3 linked regions of the Stegostoma tigrinum genome follow. The protein of the gene in region 1 purifies or fractionates together with the protein of each later gene. This does not show direct contact. Links are inferred from orthologs where the notes say so. Each region holds a gene or a part of one and is shown in the gene's direction. Other genes may lie near its edges.

What was found. Proteins that work in one complex are often made in the same cells at the same time.
Region 2: the proteins of cullin-1 (region 1) and fbxo42 purify together in Homo sapiens (affinity purification with mass spectrometry; 9 studies listed by BioGRID and IntAct, counting the BioPlex papers as one, with this or other methods). This does not show direct contact. The link is inferred for Stegostoma tigrinum from reciprocal best matches to the Homo sapiens genes CUL1 and FBXO42.
Region 3: the proteins of cullin-1 (region 1) and fbxo21 purify together in Homo sapiens (affinity purification with mass spectrometry; 6 studies listed by BioGRID and IntAct, with this or other methods). This does not show direct contact. The link is inferred for Stegostoma tigrinum from reciprocal best matches to the Homo sapiens genes CUL1 and FBXO21.

Annotation. Positions count from the first base shown.
Region 1 is NC_081355.1:98,233,531-98,240,571, reverse strand, and holds the start of cullin-1, read left to right. Parts: upstream 1-3,936; 5' UTR 3,937-4,216; intron 4,217-7,041. UniProt on the Homo sapiens protein: Core component of multiple cullin-RING-based SCF (SKP1-CUL1-F-box protein) E3 ubiquitin-protein ligase complexes, which mediate the ubiquitination of proteins involved in cell cycle progression, signal transduction and transcription.
Region 2 is NC_081381.1:31,101,478-31,109,191, forward strand, and holds the start of fbxo42 (F-box only protein 42), read left to right. Parts: upstream 1-4,615; 5' UTR 4,616-4,760; intron 4,761-5,115; exon of another isoform or gene 5,116-5,242; intron 5,243-7,714. UniProt on the Homo sapiens protein: Substrate-recognition component of some SCF (SKP1-CUL1-F-box protein)-type E3 ubiquitin ligase complex. Specifically recognizes p53/TP53, promoting its ubiquitination and degradation.
Region 3 is NC_081379.1:30,199,088-30,207,176, forward strand, and holds the start of fbxo21 (F-box only protein 21), read left to right. Parts: upstream 1-4,990; 5' UTR 4,991-5,012; coding exon 5,013-5,200; intron 5,201-8,089. UniProt on the Homo sapiens protein: Substrate-recognition component of the SCF (SKP1-CUL1-F-box protein)-type E3 ubiquitin ligase complex.

The DNA of each region.
Region 1 (7,041 bases):
GTTGATTGGGGCAAATGTTTATCGGCAAAGGGGCGGCTGGAGAATGGAGCTCCGTCAAAATCAGATAACCAGAGTCCAGAGACAGTATATTCCTGTTAGGGTGAAGGTCAAGGCTGGTAAGTATACGGAATTCTGGATGACTAGAGAAATCATGGTATTGGTCAAGAACAAGGTAACACATGTCAGGTATAGACAGCAGAGATCCAGTGAATGCTTAGAGTACAAAGGCAGTAGAAGTATACTTAAGGGGGAAATCAGGAGGGCAAAAAGGGGGCATGAGGTAGTTGCAGGTAGATGGGATAGTGAAGAAGACGTTTGGTATGCTTGCCTTTATAGGTCAGTGCATTGAGAAAAGGAGTTGGGAGGTCATGTTGTGCTGTACAAGATGTTAGTTAGGCCACTTTTGGAATACTGTATGCAATGCTGGTCTCAAAGAACAAAGAAAATTTACATTATAGGAACAGGCCCTTTGGCCCTCCAAGCCTGCACTGACATGCTATCCATCACAACCGAACACCCCTACCCTTCCAGGGACCATATCCCTCTATTCCCATGCTATTCATGTATTTGTCAAGATGCCCTTTAAAAGTCTCTGTAGTATCTTCTTCCACTACATCCCCCAGGAGTGAGCACCCACCACCCTCTGGAGAAAACTTGCCTCAGTTATCACCTTTAAACCTTGCCCCTCGCATTAAACCCATGCCCCATGGTAGCTGACTCTCCCACCCTGGGGAAAAAGCTTCTGACTGTCTGGTCTGTCCGTGCCCTTCATCATTTTGGAGACTTCTATCAGGTCGCCCCTCACACACACTCATTCCAGTGAGAACAATCCAAGTTTCTCCAACCTCTCCTCATAGCTGATGCCCACCATACCAGACAATATCCTGGTAAATCTGCTCTGTACTCTCTCCAAAGCCACCACATCCTTCTGGTAGTGTGGTGACCAGAATTGAACATAATCCAAATGCAACCTAACTAAGGTTCTATAAAGCTGCAACATTACCTGCCACTTTTTAAACTCAAAGCCCTGGCCGATGATGGCAAGCATGCCATATGTCTCGTTGTCTACCTTTTCCGCCTGCGTTGCCACTTTCAGTGAGGAATGATGGTGTGAAACTTGAAAGGGTTCAGAAAAGTTTTACAAGAATGTTATCAGGATTGGAGGTTTTGAGCTACAGGGAGAGGATGGATAGACTGGGGTGATTTTTTCCCTGGAACGTCAGGCTGAGGTGTGAGTGGCACGGATGGGGTAAATAGACAGACAAGATCTTTTTCCTAGGGTGAGGGGAGTGCGAAACTAGTGGGCACAGTCATAGAATCATACAGCATGGAATCAGTCACTTCAGACCAACCAGTTCATTCCAAGCATAATCCCAAACTACACTCGTCCCACCAGCTTGCTCCTGGCCTCTGAAACCCCATGATTCAAGAATTGACTTAAATATCTTTTAAATGTTGCAATTGTACTCGCATCCACCCCTTCCTCAGGAAGTTCATTTTGTATGCCAACTATCCTCTGTGTAAAAGAAAAAATTGCCTGTCTTTTTAAAATCTTTTCTCCTGCCTTAAAAATGTGTCCCCTAATGCTGAAATTCCACATCTGAGGGAAAAGACAACTACCATCAACTTTATACCTCATTATTTTATAAATTTTTATCACTAGCCCATTGGAGGTTCAGAGGTGACCTGGAAAAAAGTCCCAGCCTTTCTTTATAACTCAAACCTTCCATACCCAGCAGCATCCTGGTAAATCTCTTCTGAACCATCTCCAGCTTGTTAATATCCTTCCTGTAACTGGGCGCTTAGAACTGGACAGTATTCCAGAAGAGGCTTCACCAATGTCCTGTACAGGTTTAAGGAGAGTGGGTAAAGATTTAAAATGGACCTAAGGGGCAACATTTTTCATGCAGAGGGTGGTGCGTGGAAAGAATGAGTTGCCAGAGAAAGTGGTGGAGTTTGGTACAATTAGAACATTTAAAAGGCATCTGGATGGGTATGTGTAAAGGGATACTGGCAAATGGGTATAGATTTGTTTAGGATATCTGGTCAGCATGGATGACTTGGACTGAAAGGTTTGTTTCCATGCTGTAAGTCTCTCTCCGACTTTAAATCAGAGTTTGACTAAAGGGAATGTTGCTGATTGACAGGATGTGACAGTGGTGTCCTCCAGAAATCTGCTGAGTTCAGTTTTTCACCATATTTGATCGATTCAGGTGAAAAAATTGAAATTTGTATATTTAAGTCTGCAGATGAGACAAAGTCAGGAAGATCACAGCAGGCCAAGCAGGAAAGCTGATGTTTTGGGCCTAGACTCTTCCTACTACCTCAGAACAATGATAGGTGTGGTTAGGGAAAATATATTGCTTCTGGCTTTCACTGTGGGGAAGCCTTAGTCAAACCAGAACTATTCTGAAGCCATATCCATCTTGGGTCATTAACTCTGTTTCTTTCACCACAGATGCTGCCAAACTAGCTAAGTTTCTCCAGAACCATGTCTTTGCTTTAGAGTGGTGGAATGGCAAGTGATGTGGTGTGGTACATAATTCACAAATCACTATTTCTGGGGAGAAACTATTTCTTATGGTGGGGATCTAGAACAAGAAATCTATACCTTTTAAAATTACAGATAGGTCAGAACATGGCTTTAAGTTGAGGGGTGAGAGATGTGGGACAGATGTCAGAGGTAGTTTCTTTGCTCAGAGTAGTAAGGGAATGGAACGCTTTGCCTGCAGGGTAATAGATTCGCCAACTTTAGGTACATTTAAGTTGTCGTTCCATAAGCATATGGACATACATGGAATAGTGTAGGTTAGATGGGCTTGAGATCGGTATGACAGATTGGCACAACATCGAGGGCCGAAGTGCCTGTACTGTGCTGTAATGTTCTATGTCTAAGTGTGGGCGAAACGTGGAACTATTTTGTTCTAGGCTGTAAATGCTGGGTGTATTGAAGTAATCAAATTGGTATAGGCAGACTGTTGATAACAAAGTGTAGAGCTGGATGAGCATAGCGGGCTAAGCAGCATCAGAGAAGCAGGAAGGCTGACGTTTTGGGTCTTGACCCTTCAGAAAATGATTTTCTGAAGAAGGGTCAAGACCCAAAACGTCAGCCTTCCTGCTCCTCTGATGCTGTTTGGCCTGCTGTGTTCATCCAGCTCTATACCTTGTCATCTCAGATTTTCCAGCATCTGCAGTTCCTATTATGTCTCCGCAGACTGTTAGGTTAAATACGATATGGGTGACATGCGAGTATACAGGGTTGAGGTACAGACGACTTGTGATTTGATATTGGTGGATTAGGTTTGAATGGCTTCTGCCTCATTTAGAAGTTGATCCCATAGCAACAGCGTTTTTCGGTCTATTTCTTAAATAAGGAATTCGCAATTTGTTGCAAACACAACAACATACTTGGGGGACGTGACTAACCTCCCAGGGGCCCATCTTCACAGTTGGGTTACTCGAATCTTTCATATCAAATGTAATCCTGGAGACATCGAGAGGATTAAAAACCAGGAAAGGAAAAATGAGAATTAACGTTTCAGAATGGTTCTGAAGACGGGTCACATTATCTCTCCCATTATCCCAAAATTTAACTGATTGTTTTCCCTTCACAGACACTGCCAGACCTGCTGAGCTTTTCCAGCAACTTCTGTTATCATCAATTCTTCCAGTATTTAAAACCAGTAAAACCTTGCGTGGTCAGTACAAATGTGGCAAATGCCTTTTTAATATATATATTAATCTATCTCAAACTTAAATAGCTGAATATCTGATTTCATTTAAAAATTTAAAAAAAATTGAACCCTCTTACTGCACAAACCTCGTTGAGTTTTTTTTTGGGGGGGGGACCTGGTAGACAAAAACATTTCGCGTTTCTTAAGAAATAAAACAGTCGCCAGCAAAATTTTCCGGAAGCCCAGCTGCAATGAGATCGAATCCCTTCTGTGATGAACAGTTTGTTCCAACGATGTTATTTGTTTGTCGAGACTACCTCACGTGTTTGCCCTTTCGTCATTTTATTAAAACAAACTGAAGAGGAGCTTAGCTGAGCTGAGGGAGAGGCCCCGAGGATGTGGGCGAGCGGCGGAACTGTTGTTTAAGGAATTAGTTGCAGGCGGCGGGGCGGAACCTGTGGAGACGAGGCGCCGGGAGTCGGTTGAAAAATTAAATCGGAAGCAGAGTGGCGAAGCGGACGGAGCCGGTGAGGGGGACGATGGTGAGTGAAGTGGAGGCGGCGGCGGCTGGAAGGTGGGGTTGGAGGGAAAGAGCTCTGGGGTTCCCCCCGCCCCCCAACCATTGCCTCCCTGACTCATGGTGACTCGGGCCGTTTGCGGGAGGCCGCAGTCACCGCCATGTTGTTGGCAGAGCCCGAGGCCCAGGGACAGGCCTCTGGGATTTCCCCCCACCAAATCCCGACCTCACTCCTCAGTCAGTCGGCCCCAGCGGCTGAAACTTTTAGGTGATGGGGTCGGTGCTGTGTAGCAGGAGTTGGAAGCCTCTGTCTCCGTATGGGGAAGGTTTCTTTTTCGGCCGTGATGAATCTGAGAGCCGAGGCTCTAATCTAGGCCTGTCCCGAGAAGCCGGGCCTTGGGATTCCTTCTGTTTGTGGCGCACTGCAAAGAGGAGCTGATTAGTTTCCGCCTACGGCCGGCGACAGATTCTAGTCGTCCTCGCCGGCCAGTTTCCGCAAATAATCTGGGATCCCCCTTACCCCCACTCGGCTCCAGGGACCGAGGCCTCGATCTTCGTTTGATTCGACGCTTTGTGAGCAGCGCTCTGGATCCTAAACATTGCCCATAAATAAATTGCTGCAATGTTATCTAGTGGATTAAAAGCATCTGGGTTTCCGCATATAACCTACATTCTATCGTTTTATTTAAATAAACGAAATAAGTTGTCACGAAGTCTTGCACAGTTGCCAACTTAACTCGTCACGTTGTTATTTCTAAGACTTAAACGCTTCGTCTGTGTCAACAAAAGCACTGTTTAGAAGATTGCGTTGCACCAAAAATCACTTCCCGTAATTCAACCTAGTAGTTCTTAGTTTGCCGCTGTTTGTTTTATACAATGACGCACTGTGATTGCTTCTACCCCAATTGACATGCTTCAGTCAGTGGATATGAAACAAACATTGTTCTCTTCATAACTTGGTCTTGCCAGTGTTGTGGAAAAGAGCCTTAGTATAGTGTATATGTAAAATGTTACTGTTTAACAGTTTTGTGTACTGTCTTACAACTCTGTGATTTGTACTTTATGCATACTGTTGCTTTAAGCCTTTGTCTGATGTTTACAGACTTTAACCAAGAGATGGTATTTTTCTCAACAGCAGTTGAGGAAATGTCTCGGGGCCTCCCAGAGAGAAATGGAATGCCTTGTGTAGAGCTGGTGCCAAGTGGTTCATTGTGGCAGATTCAGTAATCTGACATCCAATTAGGGGGTCAGCGGTACTTATGCACTTACTTGGATCATTAACTAGCTAGTTGACAAATATATGGCTTTTGGAGGTGGACTCTGCAGTGGATGCTGGAATCCTGGAAAACTATGCTAATACGTTGCAACAAACACAAAAGCCCATCAGAGCAAGCAGTAGAAAGCAATGGAACTATTTTTGATTTTACCTGAAATGCCTTGCTTCGTAGAATTCAGTGCTCAGATTCTCCGAGATCAGATGATCGTGTATGTTATCTGTATGAGGCTGTGGAAACTCACCATACATCCATTTGAGTAGTTTAGCCTGCAGGTAATTAATCATTTTCTCCGGGTGTCAATAATTCTATCCTTTGGTTCAAATGCTCAAATTGGTATAGTTTAAATACCTGTTAGCATTGCATCATTTAAGATTGTGAGTGATTTGGAGGGCAATCTGTGGATGGTGGTGATCCATCTATCTGTCCTTATGCACCTGACAGATTTTGGATAGATCACTTGTTGCAGAAATTTTAGCCTATCATTGTCTCTATTTCTGTTTTCTTAATTTGTGGAATGTGGTAATCACTATCTGGCTAGCATTTGTTGCTCATCCAAATGCTGTCTTCAATGGCTGCAGCCCTTAGGGTAACTGGAGACCACTGAGTTTCGAAGGATGTTTCAGATTTTGACCCAGTGAGACGGGTGGTTTGTCATGACCCAAAAGCATAGGGATTTTGACAGTGTTAATATCATTGAATATAAGATAACAAAGTGTGAAGCTGGATGAACACAGCAGGCCAAGCAGCATCTCAGGAGCACAAAAGCTGACGTTTCAGGCCTAGACCCTTCTTCAGAGAGGGGTATGGGGAGAGGGTTCTGGAGTAAATAGGGGAAGGCAGAATGAAGATGGAGAGAAAAGGAGATAGGTAGGGAGTGGGATAGGTCAGTACAAGGAAGACGGACAGTTCAAGGAGGTGGGATGAGGTAGTAGGTAGGAAATGGAGGTGTGGCTTGAGTGGGAGGAAGGGATGGGTGAGAGGAAGAACAGGTTAGGGAAGCAGAGACAGGCTGGGCTGGTTTTGTGATGCAGTGGGGGGAGGGGAAGAACTGGGCTGGTTTTGGGATGCAGTGGGGGAAGGAGAGATTTTGAAGTTTGTGAAGTCCACATTGATACCAATGGGGCTGCAGGGTTCCCAAGCGGAATATGAGTTGCTGTTCCTGCAACCTTCGGCTGGCCACGTTGTGGCACTGCAGGAGGCCCATGATGGACATGTCGTCTGAGGAATGGGAGGGGGAGTTAAAATGGTTCACGACTGGGAGGTGCAGTGTTTTGAGTGTTGAGCAGATGACGATTCTGTCTTGTTGGAGATGGCCTTTACTTGCTCCTAGTTTGGCATGGGTGTCACTTTCCATCCAACTGTCGAAGCCTAAATGTTGTCTAGGCATTACACATGCGCAGTGACAGCTTCGTTATGCAGGAGTCATATATGTTGCTGAATGTTATGTAATCATCAGCATACACCCCTAAATCTGACCTTGTGAAGGGATGGACACTCATTCATGAAGCTGAAGATGTCTAGGCCTTGAAAGTCTTTCTTTGTGACTCATGTTTCAGGGTTGTAACTGTTGAGA
Region 2 (7,714 bases), on another chromosome or scaffold:
GGGGCTTAGATTAGTTCACAGGTCGGTGCAACATCGAGGGCCGAAGGGCCTGTTCTGCGCTGTATTGTTCTATGTTCTGTATTTGGATATTATAGATACTTTTCATAAAATCCACATTAAATGTATCCCATTTATAAATAACCATTGTGATAATATACAATATATAAATGATACTGTACAAAATATGCTCATAGTATATCATATCATAATCCCTGAAGTAACACAGTGAAGGATTAGTGTGGGCAGCAATGATGGATAGCTGTCATCTGCCAAATTAAACCAGTTTAGCAAAATGTGATCTAAGATCTATTACCCAGTTTGCTTTGCTGCGAAGGAAAATTAATGAATGGAAAATCAAGAGGCAAGAAAAGGCACCGGGGATTAGTGGTCTGTTAAACTCCCTGTCCAATTTTCTCCCATGTTGGTTTCAATGGAAAGAATAATATATGAATATGTAATAGGTAACTGTTTTGCAACAGTCTATTTCATACCCCTGCTGTAGTTGAATTTTGTATCAAATTTCTACTTTGGGAATTTGAGGACCTTTTTAGTCCAAAACAGGATAGGTTGCAACTCTTTCTAATTAAAATAGTTGCTGGTGCAATTTCCAAATGCTGGCCCAAATAAACTGTAGAAGTGTTGGTATTGGGTATTGTTGAAAACTTTCTATTAAAAGTTGAATTTGTTGAATCTGAATCCGTTTAAGGAGATTGTGTCTGTCAAGATGATTATTCAATTTTAGTGGGAGAGAACAGTAAACAAGAACCAAGGCAGATCAGTTTGATTTCTAGATGACATGGCTAACAAAGAAAGATTGCAGCTTCTTCATCTCAATGTTTGCGTGGCTGACAATTTAAAGCATAAACCAGATAGCTTCAAACTATTTCAAGGTACTGTTTATTTACCAATCACTTGTTCATTAATGGGGTCCGGAGAGGTTTGTCTGTGTGTATTGAGTGGGCCACTTCCCACTAAATGCTGCAGTTAACCCTGTTGGCCAACGCTTTAAAGGGTCCTTTAGTCTTTTATGAATCTGTACACCCCTACTGACCATCTACAGAGTTTGCCATTGCAGTGCAGTGATTTTAAAATTCCCATAATTTTGTTTAAATTCCTCCATGGCCCTGATACTCACTCTCTGCATAACACCACCAGACCCACAACCCTCCACAAAACTCCAATTCTTCTCTCGTAGGCATCATGCAATTCATTTGCCTCAGCATTCTAGCAGCATCATCCCGGCCTAAGCTCTGGAACTTAGTCAATGATGATCCCCCAGTAACAAAAAAGAAATTGCTGGTGAAACTCAGCAGGTCTGACAGCATGTGTGGGGAGAAAGCAGGGTTAATATTTTGAACTTGGTGACTCTTTTTCAGAACTGGTGATTTGCTGTGGAATATTTGACAATGGCAGTGACACTGGTTGTTAAAGGTAGTCATTGTAAGTGCTAATCGCCACTTATCAGTCCGAGTACATATGTTGTACTGGCCCCTCTGCGGGAGTGATTGCAAATGGAACTGGAATCAAGGCAAACATCCAGGAACATCTTCACTTCTGATATGGTGGCGAGAAGGTCAATGATAAAGCAGCTAATTGGTCTAGTACACTGCCCTGGGGAAATTCTGCAGCATTGTCCTATGGATGGAATGATGAGCCTCCAATAACTACAACTACCTTTGTGTTAAGTATCACTGCAGCTGATGGAGAGTTTTCCCAATGATTCTATTCCTCCTGAGTTTTTCAAGGACACGATGCCACACTTGGTCAAACACTGCTTAATGTCAAGGGCAATCACTTCTGCTTCTTTTCTGAATTGCAGCTGTTTTGTCCAAGTTCAGACCCATGCTGTAATGATGTCTGGAGCCAGGTGGCTCTGGTAAAACTTAAACTAAGAATTAGTGGACAGGTTATGGTGAGTACTTGACAGGAGTGTCTATGATCCCCTTCATCATTTTCATCATGAGAGGAGGCTACTGTATGGTAATTAGACTCATAGAGATGTACAGCATGGAAACAGACCCTCAGTCTGACTCATCTGTGCTGACCAAGTATCCTACATAAATCTAGTCCCATTTTCTAGCATTTGGCCCATATCCCTCCAGGCCCTTACTAATCAAATATCCATCTGGATATCTTTTAAATGTTGTAATTATACCAACCTCCACCACTTGCTCTGGCAGCTCATTCCATACCCGCACCACCCTCTGTGTGAAAAAAGTTGCCCCTTAGGTCCCTTCTAAATCTTTCCCCTCTCACCTTAAACCTATGCCCTCTAGTTTTGGACTCCCCCCATTCTGGGGAAAAGACCTTACCTCTTCACCCTATCCATGTCCCTCATGATTTTATAAACCTCTCTAAGATCACCCCTCAGCCTCCAATGCTCCAGGGAAAATAGCTCCAACTTATTTAACCTCTCCTTGTAACTCAAACCCTCCAACCCTGGCAACATCCTTGTAATTTTTTCTAAACCCTTTCAAGTTTCACAACATTCTTCCTGTAGCAGGGAGACCAAAATTGGTTGCTTTGTAATTTTTAATTTTTTTTATTTCACCAATTTTTCTAATCAACCTGTTCAGAGATGTTATTACACACATCTGGAGCAGGTGGGACTTGAACCCAGGACCCTTGTTCCAGGGGTAGAGAACTGGTTTTTCAGGATGAGGAATAAGTAGATACTTTTTCATTTTGTTACGTTAGTGCTATTAGGACAGTTTGGCTAGGGGGTACAGTTAGTTCTGGACCACCAGGTTTCAGTATTACTGCTGGGATGTTGCCGGGACCTGTAGTCTTTTTTGTATCCAGTGCATTCAATAGAAGATAAAGTGTGAAGCTGGATGAACACAGCAGGCCAAGCAGCATCTCAGGAGCTCCTGAGATGCTGCTTGGCCTGCTGTGTTCATCCTGCTTCACACTTTGTTATCTTGGATCCTCCAGCATCTGCAGTTCCCATTATCTCTCATTCAATAGAAGATGTGGTTTTTAGAGGCTAATCATCACATCAGTAGAACAGTACCACATGAATTCCCCAGGTCACTACACTGTTCTTTCATATTACTTGGAGTGCATTCAGTTGTTCAAAGATTGATTTCTTCAACAATCAGGCCGTCAGAAAGAGGCCTGATAAATCATCCATTCAGCACTTTTTGTTGAAGATGGTTGCAAACTCTCCAGCCTTTTCTTTTGCATTGACATGATCCTGAGCTCCCCCCGTTACTGAAGACGGAGTGTTAGTTATGACAACACTGCAATTCTTTGATTGAATCCGCAGGGGTTCATGGGATATTTTAGTTCCGAGCTGATCAGGATGTTTCTGAATGATATTCCTGTATGATAACTTCACTGTTTTAATTTTGATATGCCTGATACTGCTATGGCATGCTCTTCCAAACTCTTCGTTAAAAAAAAATTTGTCCCTTGATGGTAATGATGGAAGGAGAGGTATGCCAGGCCATGAGGTTTCATACTGTGATGGAATACAATTCTCCTGCTGCTGATGGACCACAGTGTCAGTTCTGTTCTGAATCTGTTCCACTCAATACAGTGGTGGTGCAACACAACACAGAGGAAGATGTTGTCAACATTGTGATGAAACTCTTCTCCACAAAGATTATGTGGTCTCCATTCCTATGAATAATGTCTTGTACAGATAGATGTGCACCAGGCACAGTTGGTCAGGATGATGTCAAGTTCACAGGAACATAGGATCAGGAGTAGACTATTCAGCCTCTTGAGCCTGTTGGACCATGCAATGAGATCATGGCTGACCTGTGGCCTGACTCCAAGCACCTATGTTTGACCTTGAATATATTCACTGACTTGGCCTTTACTGCTGTCTGGAGCATTGAATTCCAGAAACTAATGACTGTCGGAGAAGAAATTCCTTCTCAATTCTATCTGAAAAAGGAAAACTTTGCTTTGAAATTGTGCTCTGTAGTTCTAGATTCTCCCCCAAGATAAAAAAAACCTCAGTTTTAGAGCCTGAGATAACAAGGTGTAGAGTTGGATGAACACAGCAGGCCAAGCAGCACCAGAGGAGCAGGAAGACCGATGTTTTGGGCCTCGACGCCTGAAGGTCTTGGCTGCTGTGTTCGTCCAGGTCTACACCTTGTTATCTCAGATTCTCCAGCATCTGCTGTTCCTACTGTCTCTGAAACAGTTTTAGAGCCTGATGGGTTTCCCCCCTACACTGTCTTTTGTAATTCCAGATTTATTTAATGAACTGAGTTTAAATGCCCCAGTGGGATTTGAATTTGTCTCTGGAACATAATTCGACGAATGTGGTTCACGATGACACGTTGCTCATTTCTATTTTATGGAGATTTTCCAAACAACTTGTTCAGAGATATTGTCACACAGACACACACCCGTGGAGCAGGTGGGACTTGAACTCAGGCTTCAAGAGCCACTTGTTTCCATTTCACATAGTGTGAGATGCATTGACTGGGATGTGAATAGGGTCATTAGCAGCTCTAGGAAAGGATGTGGTGGAGGCGTACATACCAAGCTTGTCTATCTAGGCTCAGCAAGCGCTGAATCTGCCGCAGCGTGACGCTACCGCCAGGGGGGAGACGTGAGCAGCTGTGACGCTCCGAGTGCGTGCGCGCCGCCGCGGCGCTGTCGCTCCTGGCGGAAGATGGCGGATCGGAGCGACTGAAAGCGGGAGGTGGTGAGAGCCACGGGCTTCGCTCACACAAGCAGCGGCCTTGAGTGCACACCGAGCCGGCACAAGGCGGGCGAGGGTGGGGAAGGGAGCTCGTCCGGTGAGTGTCCGAGGGTCCCCGGCGTGGCACGGCACAGCCAGTGGCGGGGGATAGCTGGGTCCCGGCATGGGCTGCCAGCTCCCTCTTGTACATCCCCTTCCCCACCCAGCGGGAGGGGGAAAGCTCTGGGCAGGGTGGTGCCCGGCCTTAGGCTGATCCCGGGCCCCCACTGCCGGCCGTAGCAGAGACAGCGGACTCCAAGCAAATGGGGCTCCGCAGGCTGCTCACCGTGAGCCCAGGGCGCTTTGGGCCGGCATCCGGCCCTTTGTATTGGGAAATCTCCCTGGAGTGAGTGGGAATTGGCCACACGCCGCTGGTAGCCTTGGAAGATCTGGATCCAGGGTCAGGTGTAACGTCGGAATACACCTTTATTGAGAGCCCTCCTGCACCCACTTACCGAGACGTGGAACTGGATCCAGAATTGCTGGGCAGTGAATTAAAGAGAGGGCTGATTTCCCAATCTGTATGAGGGATAAACACAGGTGACAGAGTCCTTTGAACTCCGTAATGTGGGTGTAGTAACTGTGTGGCCTTTATGTCCCATCATATTCAAGACAACCAGTGTGATCTTCGTATGGCATACATTCAGTAAGGAAGAGGAGCAGCACTGTACCTCAGTGCTCTGCTTTAAATAAGGAATGTGCTAAATATGATGGTGTTTGTATTAGCAATAAGGAGGGCACATTAAACCATACTACCTATACCTGTAATTTGGTTAAGGAGGGGTGGTGAGATCGCTGAACTCATCAGGTTTGAACACAAAATTCAAAATGAGCTGTTGACAGATAGCCAGGAGATCTTGACTTTATTTTGGTTCTGTTGGTCTTTTAAGTTATTGGAAAAAATGGGAGGCATGATCTTTTCTGTTTCATCATAACCTGACTGCTTCAGATAAGTGGTCAAATTTTGCATGTTTTAACAGTGAAACTGAATCTGTACTGTTCTACTGATGCTTACTATTATCCTGGGAAAGGGATTTTTCAAATAAATGAGGACTGAAGTCTTGCAAAAACTGCACTTCGAAACACATCTTAATTTACCTTGAGAAAATATTTCAAAATGTGGTTGTAACTAAAACAGATAATATGGTTGCCTATTCCAGATTTGTTGTTGTGAAAGACTAGAATTGGTGATCAAGAAGCTGGTTTTCAGTTAGCCAGCTCAGCATCTATGCACTCTATCTTTGGAACACTTAGTTTTGATCACTGTTCATGTGTGGTTTTTGGAGCCAAGTCTTTACAGTAGGGTTACATTTTGAAATGTGTGGTTGTTGAAGTGTCAGTACATTATGGTATTGTAAAAGGGTTTCAGTAATCCTTGGTCATGGGCATATGAAATTTTCATTATGTCTGTTTGAACTATAAGAAGTACCCTGTGGGTTGAGTTTGCAATGTATTTTTCAAGCTGTCTAACAGTAGGGTTGTTAAAGGTCTCCACCTGGTGCTGGAAGTAGTTTAATGTGATGAATTAAGCATTGATAACAAGCAGGTTGTGCTGTCCATCAGAGATAATGGGAACTGCAGATGCTGGAGAATTTGAGATAACAAAGTGTGGAGCTGGATGAACACAGCGGGCCAAGCAGCATCGTAGGAGCACAAAAACTGATGTTTCGGGCCTAGGCCCTCCATCAGAAAAGGGGGATGGGGGAGAGGATTCTGAAATAAATAGGGAGAGAGGGGGACGTGGACTGAAGATGGTTAGAGGAGAAGATAGGTGGAGAGGAGAGTATAAGTAGGGAGGGGATAGGTCAGTCTGGAGAGGACGGACAGGTCAAGGAGGCAGGATGAGGTTAGGTAGGAAATAGAGGTGCGGCTTGAGGTGGAAGGAGGGGATAGGTGAGAGGAAGAACAGGTTCGGGAGGTGGGGACGGGCTGGGCTGGTTTTGGGATGCAGTGGTGGGAGGGGACGAACTGGGCTGGTTTTGGGATGCGGTGTGGGAAGGGGAGATTTTGAAGCTTGTGAAGTCCACATTGATACCATTGGGCTGCAGGGTTCCCAAGCGGAATATGAGTTGCTTTTCCTGCAACCTTTGGGTGGTATCATTATGGTACTGCAGGAGGCCCATGATGGACATGCCATCTAAGGAATGGGAGGGGGAGTTGAAATGGTTTGCGACTGGGAGGTGCAGTTGTTTATTGCGAACCAAGCGTAGATGTTCTGTGAAGCAGTCCCCAAGCCTCCGCTAGGTTTCCCCAATGTAGAGGAAGCCACAACGGGTACAGCGGATATAGTATACCACATTGGCAGATGTGCAGGTGAACATCTGTTTGATGTGGAAAGACATCTTGGGGCCTGCGATAGGGGTGAGGGAGGTGGTGTGGGGGCAGGTGCAGCACTTCCTGCGGTTGCAGGGGAAGGTGCCGGGTGTGGTGGAGTTGGGGGGGAGTGTGGAGCGGACAAGGGAGTCACGGAGAGAGTGGTCTCTCCGGAAGGCAGACAAGGGTGGGGATGGAAAAATGTCTTGGGTGGTAGGGTCGGAATGTAGATGGCGGAAGTGTTGGAGGATGATGTGTGTGGAGGTTGGTGGGGTGGTGTGTGAGAACGAGGGGGATCCTCTTTGGGCGGTTATTGCGGGGGCGGGGTGTGAGGGATGAGGTGTGGGAAATGCGGGAGACTCGGTTGTGGGCGTTCTCGACCACTGCTGGGGGAAAGTTGCTGTCCTTGAAGAACTTGGACATCTGGGATGTACGGGAGTGGAATGCCTGATCCTGGGAGCAGATGTGGCGGAGGCGAAGGAATTGCTGTCTGTTATTGGTCTTGTTTCTTGCCACTTTGTTGTTTTCTACTGTATAAACTGTTTGGCAAGCTGCATTACTAAAAGGTACAAAATAATCAAAAATGCTAATGGAAACTTGGCTTTTATTTTAAGGAAATTGGATCTCGGGAAATGAGTAAGTGATGCTTTAGTCACAGTTTTAGCCAGATCCTGTCTACCTTGCTGCTTTCGATATTAG
Region 3 (8,089 bases), on another chromosome or scaffold:
CTAAAAAGGGTGAAACTTTAAAAAAAGCCTCAATGTTTCAGTACACTTGCAGATGCCAACTTATGGAAATTTGCCAAGGTCAAGCCATGTCCATTGGGAAGAATTTGAGAAAAAAATACCCATTGTGAGACAGATTTAAAAATCCTTTAAAATTAATAATATGCTATTTAATTAGCCTAATTAAGAATGAAAGTTGATTAAAAACTAAGATGTTCTAGATATTTAGTGTTTTAATATTTGGTGCTCTTAACTATAATAAAACACATCAAATTGCTATATGTTTGTTGCAAAAAATAAGTCTCACTTGAAATAGACTTCAGAGCTTAACAAGTTTTTATTCTGTTTTTATTCTAAACAAAGGAGGTTAAAAACATTACCATGGAATGTTGGCCTCACTTAAAATAAATATCTGACCCAGAAATGTCAGCCTGTGGCTTTAAGCTTAACAAATATAATTAATAATATCATTGAGGACCCCAGGAGATCAGTCTCTGAGGATTTTTTCATCCTGTTATACCCATGGAAGTAAATATACATATCTTAATGATCTTGGTTGAATTGTATGAAAGTCTCCAGAGAATCTAAGACTGAGCTGGACTTGGAAGCAATCTCCTTAGTCATCAGGGAGTACTTATTCTGAAAAGTTTAATAAATGCCCAATTTTGGGCTGTGTACATGAGGGTACAGGAAGGACTTAAAAGTGACACTTAGTGGGGAAAAGGTCATATCAACAGTCCCTGTGGGATACCACATCACCAAGTCACAGGTGTCCGTGTAACAATGAACTCAAGGGGATTATGTGAAAAAGGCAAAGAGGTGGTGATCTTCATATGAATTCTAAAGATGACAGACTTCCTCTCACATAGTGTAAAATCCCATTAATATATCCTTTTGGTTGTCTGATAGGGTGTTGGTGGAGATTAAGTTGAACAATTTGAACAATTAAGGAGACAATTCATAGCTCCCAAGAAAGATGTATTCCATTGAGAAAGAAAGACTATGAGTAGAATGCACCATGTCTCAGAAAATTATAGATGGTACTAAATTGAAAGAAAAGATTTACCATGCTGTGAAGATTCCTTGTAAGTTAGATTGTAGAGCATTTAGAAACCACCAAAGAATGACTATGAAAATATACAGACATTAGAACATGAGAGAAAACTAGAAAAAAATATAAAATACACAGTAAAAGCTTCTATCAAGTATGTAAAAAAGGAAAATTGTAACTAAAGAAAATAAATATTTCAGTCCCATAAAGGATGAGTCTTAGAAGCTCAATAAATGACTAATTTTTGGCTATGTTTTCTGGCATAAGTTGCAGATTGATGCTTGGATGGGGGGAAAGGGTTAGAGTTAGAATTAATAATTGGTGACAAAGAAATGGGAGACTTGGAACAAGAACGTTGTGGGTGTAATTTCAATAGAAGGTACAAATAAATAATCTAATAATGGTAGAAAATCAAGAGGCAAAGGAATGGAAGAATGTAAATTAATCGTGATCAATAAAGAAAAATAACAGGAAAACAATGCAACTAAAGGCTGACAAGTCCCATATCTCTGATGCCAAAGGATTTTGGTCTTAAAAGAAATGGCTACAGAAATACTGAGTAAGCCACAAATGTAATGCCTTAAGAAAGGAGAGAGTCATAATGCAGGAAACTTCAGCTTAACGTCTCTCATTGGGAAAACATTAGAGTCCATTGTTAAGGAATTAATAGCAGGATATTTAGAAAATTATCATATATTCACGTAGAGTGAACATTATTTTGTGAAAAATAAATCATATTTGACAAATGTATTAGTGTTCTTTAATGATGTAATATGTACAGTAGATGAAAGGCATTTGTTGAGGAACCTTTTCAAATTCCTTTTGTGTGGTAACAGAGGAAGGCGGTTAAACTGGTAATGAGGTTGAGAATTGGGTGAAACAAAAAGCAGAAGTTGCTGGGACAGCTCAGCAGGTCTAGCTGAATCTGTGAAGAGAAATCAGAGTCAATGCTTCGGGTCCAGTGTAAGGAAGGGTTTTTCTTCACAGATGCTGCCAGATGTGCTGAGCTTTATCAGCAACTTCTGTTTTTGTCTCTGATTTACAGCATGCACTGTCCTTTCATTTTTTTTATTGAAGATTAGGTGGTTAGACTTGTGATGATTGACTATGTGAATCTTATTATTTATACTGAGGAAGCGATCGTAGAGTTTACCGAAAAAATTTTTAAAATGGGATTCTTTTGAATCTGTAGCAGAAGATGTAAGTTTAAATGTAGCAACTTCACCTACAGTATGATGATAAGGAGCAGTGTGTCCAGGAATACTGTAGAAAATAGAAACAAATTGGAGTAAGAGCCAGCCTTTTGAATAAAGAAACAGTATTGGGATCATTGTATTTTAAAGATAAAAATATTGTTAATGGCTGAATGGGTTTTCTACGTATTTTCTTGAGTTACACATAAATAGAATTAGAGATTCTCTAATTAGAAAATTAGAGATTAGAGCCATAGAGATATGTAGCAGGAAACAGACACTTCAGTCCAACTTGTCCATGCTAACCAGCTATCCTAAATAAATCTAGTTCCATTGCGAACATTTGGCCCATATCTCTCCAAAACCCTTCGACTCATGTACCCATCTAAATGCATTTTAAATGTTGTAATTGTACTAGCCTACACCACTTCCTGTGGCAGCTCATTCCATACAAGAACCACCCTCTGTGTGAAGAGGTTCCCCATTTAAACCTTTACCCTCTCGCTGTAAATCTATGCCCTCTAGTTTTGGACTCCCCTATCCCGGGGAAGAGACTAGTCTATTTACCCTGTCCATGTTGGTTGTGATTTTATGAACCTCTATAAGGTCACCTCAGCCTCCCACTCTCCACAGAAAATAACCCTAACCCATTCAGCCTCTTCCTGTACCTCAAACCCTCCAACCCTGCAACATCCTTGTAATTTTTTTCTGAACCCTTTCAAGTTTCACATCCTTCCTATAGGAGGGAGACCAGAACAGCACACAGTATTCCAATAGTTGCCTAACCAATGTCTTGTATAGCAGCAACATGACCTCCCAACTCCTACACTCAATGCACTGACCATTAAAGGCTATGTATGAAATGTCTTCTTCACTATCCTATCTACTTGCGACTGTACTTTCAAGAAATTATGAACCTGCATTCTAAAATCTCTTTGTTCGGTAACACTACCCAGGACCTTACCATTAAGTGTATAAGCCCTACCCTGATTTGCTTTTCCAAAATGCAGCACTTCACATTTATCTAAATTCAACTCCACCACCCATTGTTCCATCTGGTCAAGAGCCCATTGTATATTTCAAATATGTTCTTTGATGTTTAAGCGAAGAATAAAGTACTGATATGGATTTGTAAACCGACGAGCTTGTATGTAATCCCAGGACCAAACAATCAAGTAAAAATAAAGAATTGTGGGTGCTGGAAATGAGAAACAAAAGCAAACCAGAAATTGCTAGGAATGCTCAGCAAGGCTGGAAGCATCTCTGGAGAGAAATCAGAGTTAACGTTTCAGGTCCAGTGTCCCTTCTTCAGAATTGATGGTAGCTTGGAAAAGGTTGATATTTATGCAGAAGATGGGGCGAGGACTAGTGAACAGACAATCAAATGTCTGTTGGAGATGGTGGGAAATGCAATTGCTGGAGAAAGAGGTAACACAGTGTGGAGTTGGAAGAATACAGCAGGCTAGGCAGCACCAGAGGAGCAAAAAAGTTGATGCTTCAGGTCAGGACCTTTCTTCAGAAATGGGGAGGGGTAGGGAGCTAAGAAATAGAGGAGGGGTGGGGTGAAGGTAGTTGGGATGGTGACAGGTGAGTGCAGGTAGGCAGTAGTGGGGATTGATCAGTGAGGTGGGAGGAGTGGGCAGGTGAGAGGGAAGATGGACAGATTGTGTCAGATCAAAGAAGTGGGGATTGGACATGCGATGAGGCTGGGGGTGGGGAACTTTAGAAACTGGTAAAATCCACATTTAGGCCATTGGGCTGTAGGCTCCCAAGGCAAAATATGAGGTGCTGTTTCTCCAGTTTGCAAATAGTGTCATTGAGACATTAGAGGAGGCCCAGGATGGACATGTCACCCAGGGACTGGGAACGGGAGTGGGAGTTAAAATGCTTGGCAACCGGAAGTTGTTGTCATTTGTCACGAACAGAGCGCAGATACTCTACAAAATGATGTCCGAGTCGGCGCTTAGTCTCACTGATGTAGAGGAGGCCACATCGGGAGCAGCAGATGCAGTGGACAAAGTTGACGGATGTGTAGGTGAGCCCCTGTCTAATGTGGAAAGTTTGCATTGTGCCTTGGATGGAGGTGTAGGGGCAGGTGTAGCACTTCCTGTGGTTGCAGGAAAAGGTGCTGGGAATGGTGGGGCTAGTGGAGAGTCACGGAGAGAGGCAGATAGGGGCGGGGAGGGAAATATCTCTTTGGTTGTGGAGCCAAGGATTGTAGGTGGTGGAAGTGGTGGAGAATAATACTTTGTATGCGGAGTTTGATGGGATGATATGTGAGGACAAGGGTGATTCTGTCTTTATTTCAGTTGGGGGGGAATTTGAGGGCTGAAGTGCAGGAAGCGCAAGAGATGCAGTTGAGGGCATTTTCGATCAATGGACGGGGGAAGTAACAATCTTTGAAATAGGAAGACATCTGGGATGTGCAGGAGTGGAACGCCTCATCCTGTGACCTGGTGGAGGCAGAGGAACTGGGAGTTGTTTGGAGATTCACACTTTTTTTCCGATAGAGTAACTTATTTTTTCCCAGTTATAGGAAAACATATAAATTCAAGCAGGATTAACATTTCTAACACTCGCTGAAACATTCATGTACACACATTGACACCAGTGCGGTGCTAGTAAATGTTATTCCACTTGCTGACACATTATCATGAAAGGGGATGTCCCTGCCCCATGGAGGCAGGCCTGAAGGGATTTGAATTTCCCGCGGGAGGCGGGGCCGGAAGCGGAAGTCGCTTGGCCCAGGGTGTCCGATGTAAACAAGTAAAATGGCCGAGCTGGATGTTTGTGGGGAGAGTGGAGGATTGATCAGGTTGCCAGAGGAGGTACTGGAGCAGATATTCTGCTGCCCGTCGTTGAGCCATGTGGATGTGGTGAGCGCCTGCCTGGCCTGTAAGAAGCTGCAGGAGGTTTGTCACGGCCACAGCGCCGTGTGGAAACACCAGTTCAGGCGGAGGTAGGCAGAGCAAACAGGCCGAGCAAGCTACCTCTGACCCTGCTCAAAAAAAATCACTCGTGTCGTTTCATGTCCTTTAAAAATGACCAGTTTAAGGCATCTGGCTAAATAAACATTTTTTTTGGTGTGTCAGTTGTGACTGTCGTCTCAATCGCAAAATTCCAAGTTCAATTCCGGCTGCTAGGCTTGACTACAAAAACCAATGCACTGCAGTATTGTCAGTGGAGCTGTGTAAACCCAGGCGCCATCAGTCTGCTTAAATGTATGCAAACGATCTCAGGGCCCTATCTTGACCCTAATGTCCTTGATAATAATCTTGTAAACCTAATGATAGTCACACTATTGGTCCAGCAAGAATCCTACAACTCAAAGTATAGATGATTTTCTGAGTCAAGACGCAAGTACTTTGCTATTTTACTGTGGTTCTCTTTCTGCTCTGATTTGAGCTAGGCAATGTTCAAACATCAGCTCTGAACTGGAAGTTCAAGTTGAGCCAGTGTGTACTTGAACTTGCACAAACTGCAACTAGTTGGCGCAGACTGACCTGAACTATGCCAAGAGATTGCGTAGATCAACATTTTGCAGATTTCTTAATTCTTGATAGCTTTAGTGTACACTTTAACAGGAGGCATGCAGCTTAGACTTTTCTAAACAGTTTTGTTGACATTAGAAATTCACAGACAGTGATGCTTACAACATTTTGATAATGCAATCCAAAACTTGATGCAATTGAGTTCTTCTATTTTAGGAGACTAAGCAGTTAAAGTTCTTGTTGATGTTTGCTCAGAAACTTATCCTTTGTCTCCTTCTCGACTATCTCTTCCATCAAACTAAAGTTACCAAAATTCTGACTTTTGCACTGGAAACACCAGACTGCTAGTGGGTTCTCTTCCTTTTTCTTCCACAATTCAAACAGTCTGCTCTCTTTACCACCCTTCCTTACCTCTCGTCCACCAAAGTATGTCAGAGCTTGCTTGGCTTGTAATTTTAAAGCTAATACAGCAGTTAGTGACCAACAATAATAACGTGCAAACTCAGTCAAAGTTTGTGCCCAGTCCTTTGAATTTGATACTTTTGGGCATGCTGTACTCTTCTGAGTAGGTAATACAGGGTTTTCCAAACCATCTTTCAATTTACCGAAACTGCGACTAAAATTCCGTGTTCTTGAGTTCAAAATTATTCAGTTTCTTGCTTGTTCCCAGGGCTTAGTCTCACTGTATGTGAGTTTTCTTAGAATTATAGAATTTGCAGAGCAGGAGGAGGCCATTTGACACTTGACATTGGAACTCCTGCAACTCCTTTCAACAGAACATTTTGTTTTTCTTTAGACTGATCTAATTCCATTTTAAATCCTATTCTCATCTCTGCTTGAGTAGCTGTATGTAGTGAAGTATTGTGAAACATAATAGCTCTTCTGTTTAAAATCCTTCCTTCTGTCTGCCTTCCTGGTATTTTCAGTGATCGTGTTTTGAGCCCACCCATTTTGATGGAAACTATCCTTCACTGGTGCTCCCAGTTCTGTAGAAATGAAGCACCACATGCCATCCCATTTCCACAGTCTTCATTTGTCTGAATACCAGACTCGTCATTTTTCAGTCTTCCTTTATCGTTTCACTCTGAAACCTTCACTTCTCCTTGCTGCTCCCTTCTCCCCCTTCAATTCCCCTTCTGAAATATAAAGAGCAAAATTTTCTTGGGTTGCTAGCTGCAGTTTCCTTGAGATTCATGAGGATAATCTATCTTTTAACATTGCTTTTGTAGTTGCACAGTAAACATAAAAGCTCTGCCAAGTGACCTGAAAAGGGGCAGATAATGTTGTTGCTGGGAGATGAAACTTTGTTTTATTTCTCCATAATCCTCAGTGTTCGTATTTCTAGTCAAAACATATCTTCATTGGCTCGTGTAAGCTCCTGCTACATTGGTCCAATGATCTAAATCCCAGCTCTTGGAAAAATATGCTCACTGGAGCAATGTACATTCCCATTTCGCACTGACCAATGCTTATCTTTGTGATCCTTCTGACTGAGATTATCAAATTACTGCTATTAGTAATTAATTGTTGACAGTTTAATTCTGAGGAGTAGTGTGCAGATGGAAAACTTCTAACTCGTTTTGTTTGGACTTCACCGATGTTAGACAGAGGACACTGAGACTAGATTCAAACCCGTGGCTTGACGGTGAAAAAGTAGGGTTTCGAACTTTTGGCCATGCATTGTTATTGTTCTTGTTGCGCTTTACCTTTTGAAGAACGGCATCCAGAACTCATTTACCTGTGCTGGCGTTTGATTTATGGACAAAGTTATTGGGCATAACTTGGAGCTGGTATTGCAAAGCATAGGCAGGCTTTTAGGAGTGTTAATAGGTAAAGACCAGAAAAGTAGAAGGATACAATATCATAAGGGCTGATGCAGCTGTTCAGATATAAATTGCCATGGCTGGATGTGCACACTTGTACTCCGGCTCCTAAACTATATTCCTTATCACAGTGGCTTCAAAAATAAATGTCTAATCCAAAGGCAGCATTGTGGGAAATGTGAACTTAAAGACTGGAAATTTTGGAAATACTCAGTGGATCTAACAGCATTTGTAGGGAGGGAAAAACGGTGTTAAGATTTCAAGTTAATGCTCTTTCAAAGGTACAGAAAGCAATTACAACAGCAAGTGGTACAGTGGCAAGGGCTTTGAAGTACTAGCAAAATAGAATAGAATAGCAATTTGTTTCTGATATTTATGAAAATACAGTGAGATGTGTGTAAGTCACCAAAAGTTGGTACCATTTCAATTACAGAAATTATAAAAAGAAGTTACGACAAAGTTCATGTTTTGTTCTCTCCATGGCAATTTGAGTTTATGGAGTTGCTATGGAACGCTGCAACCGAAACCATCCCT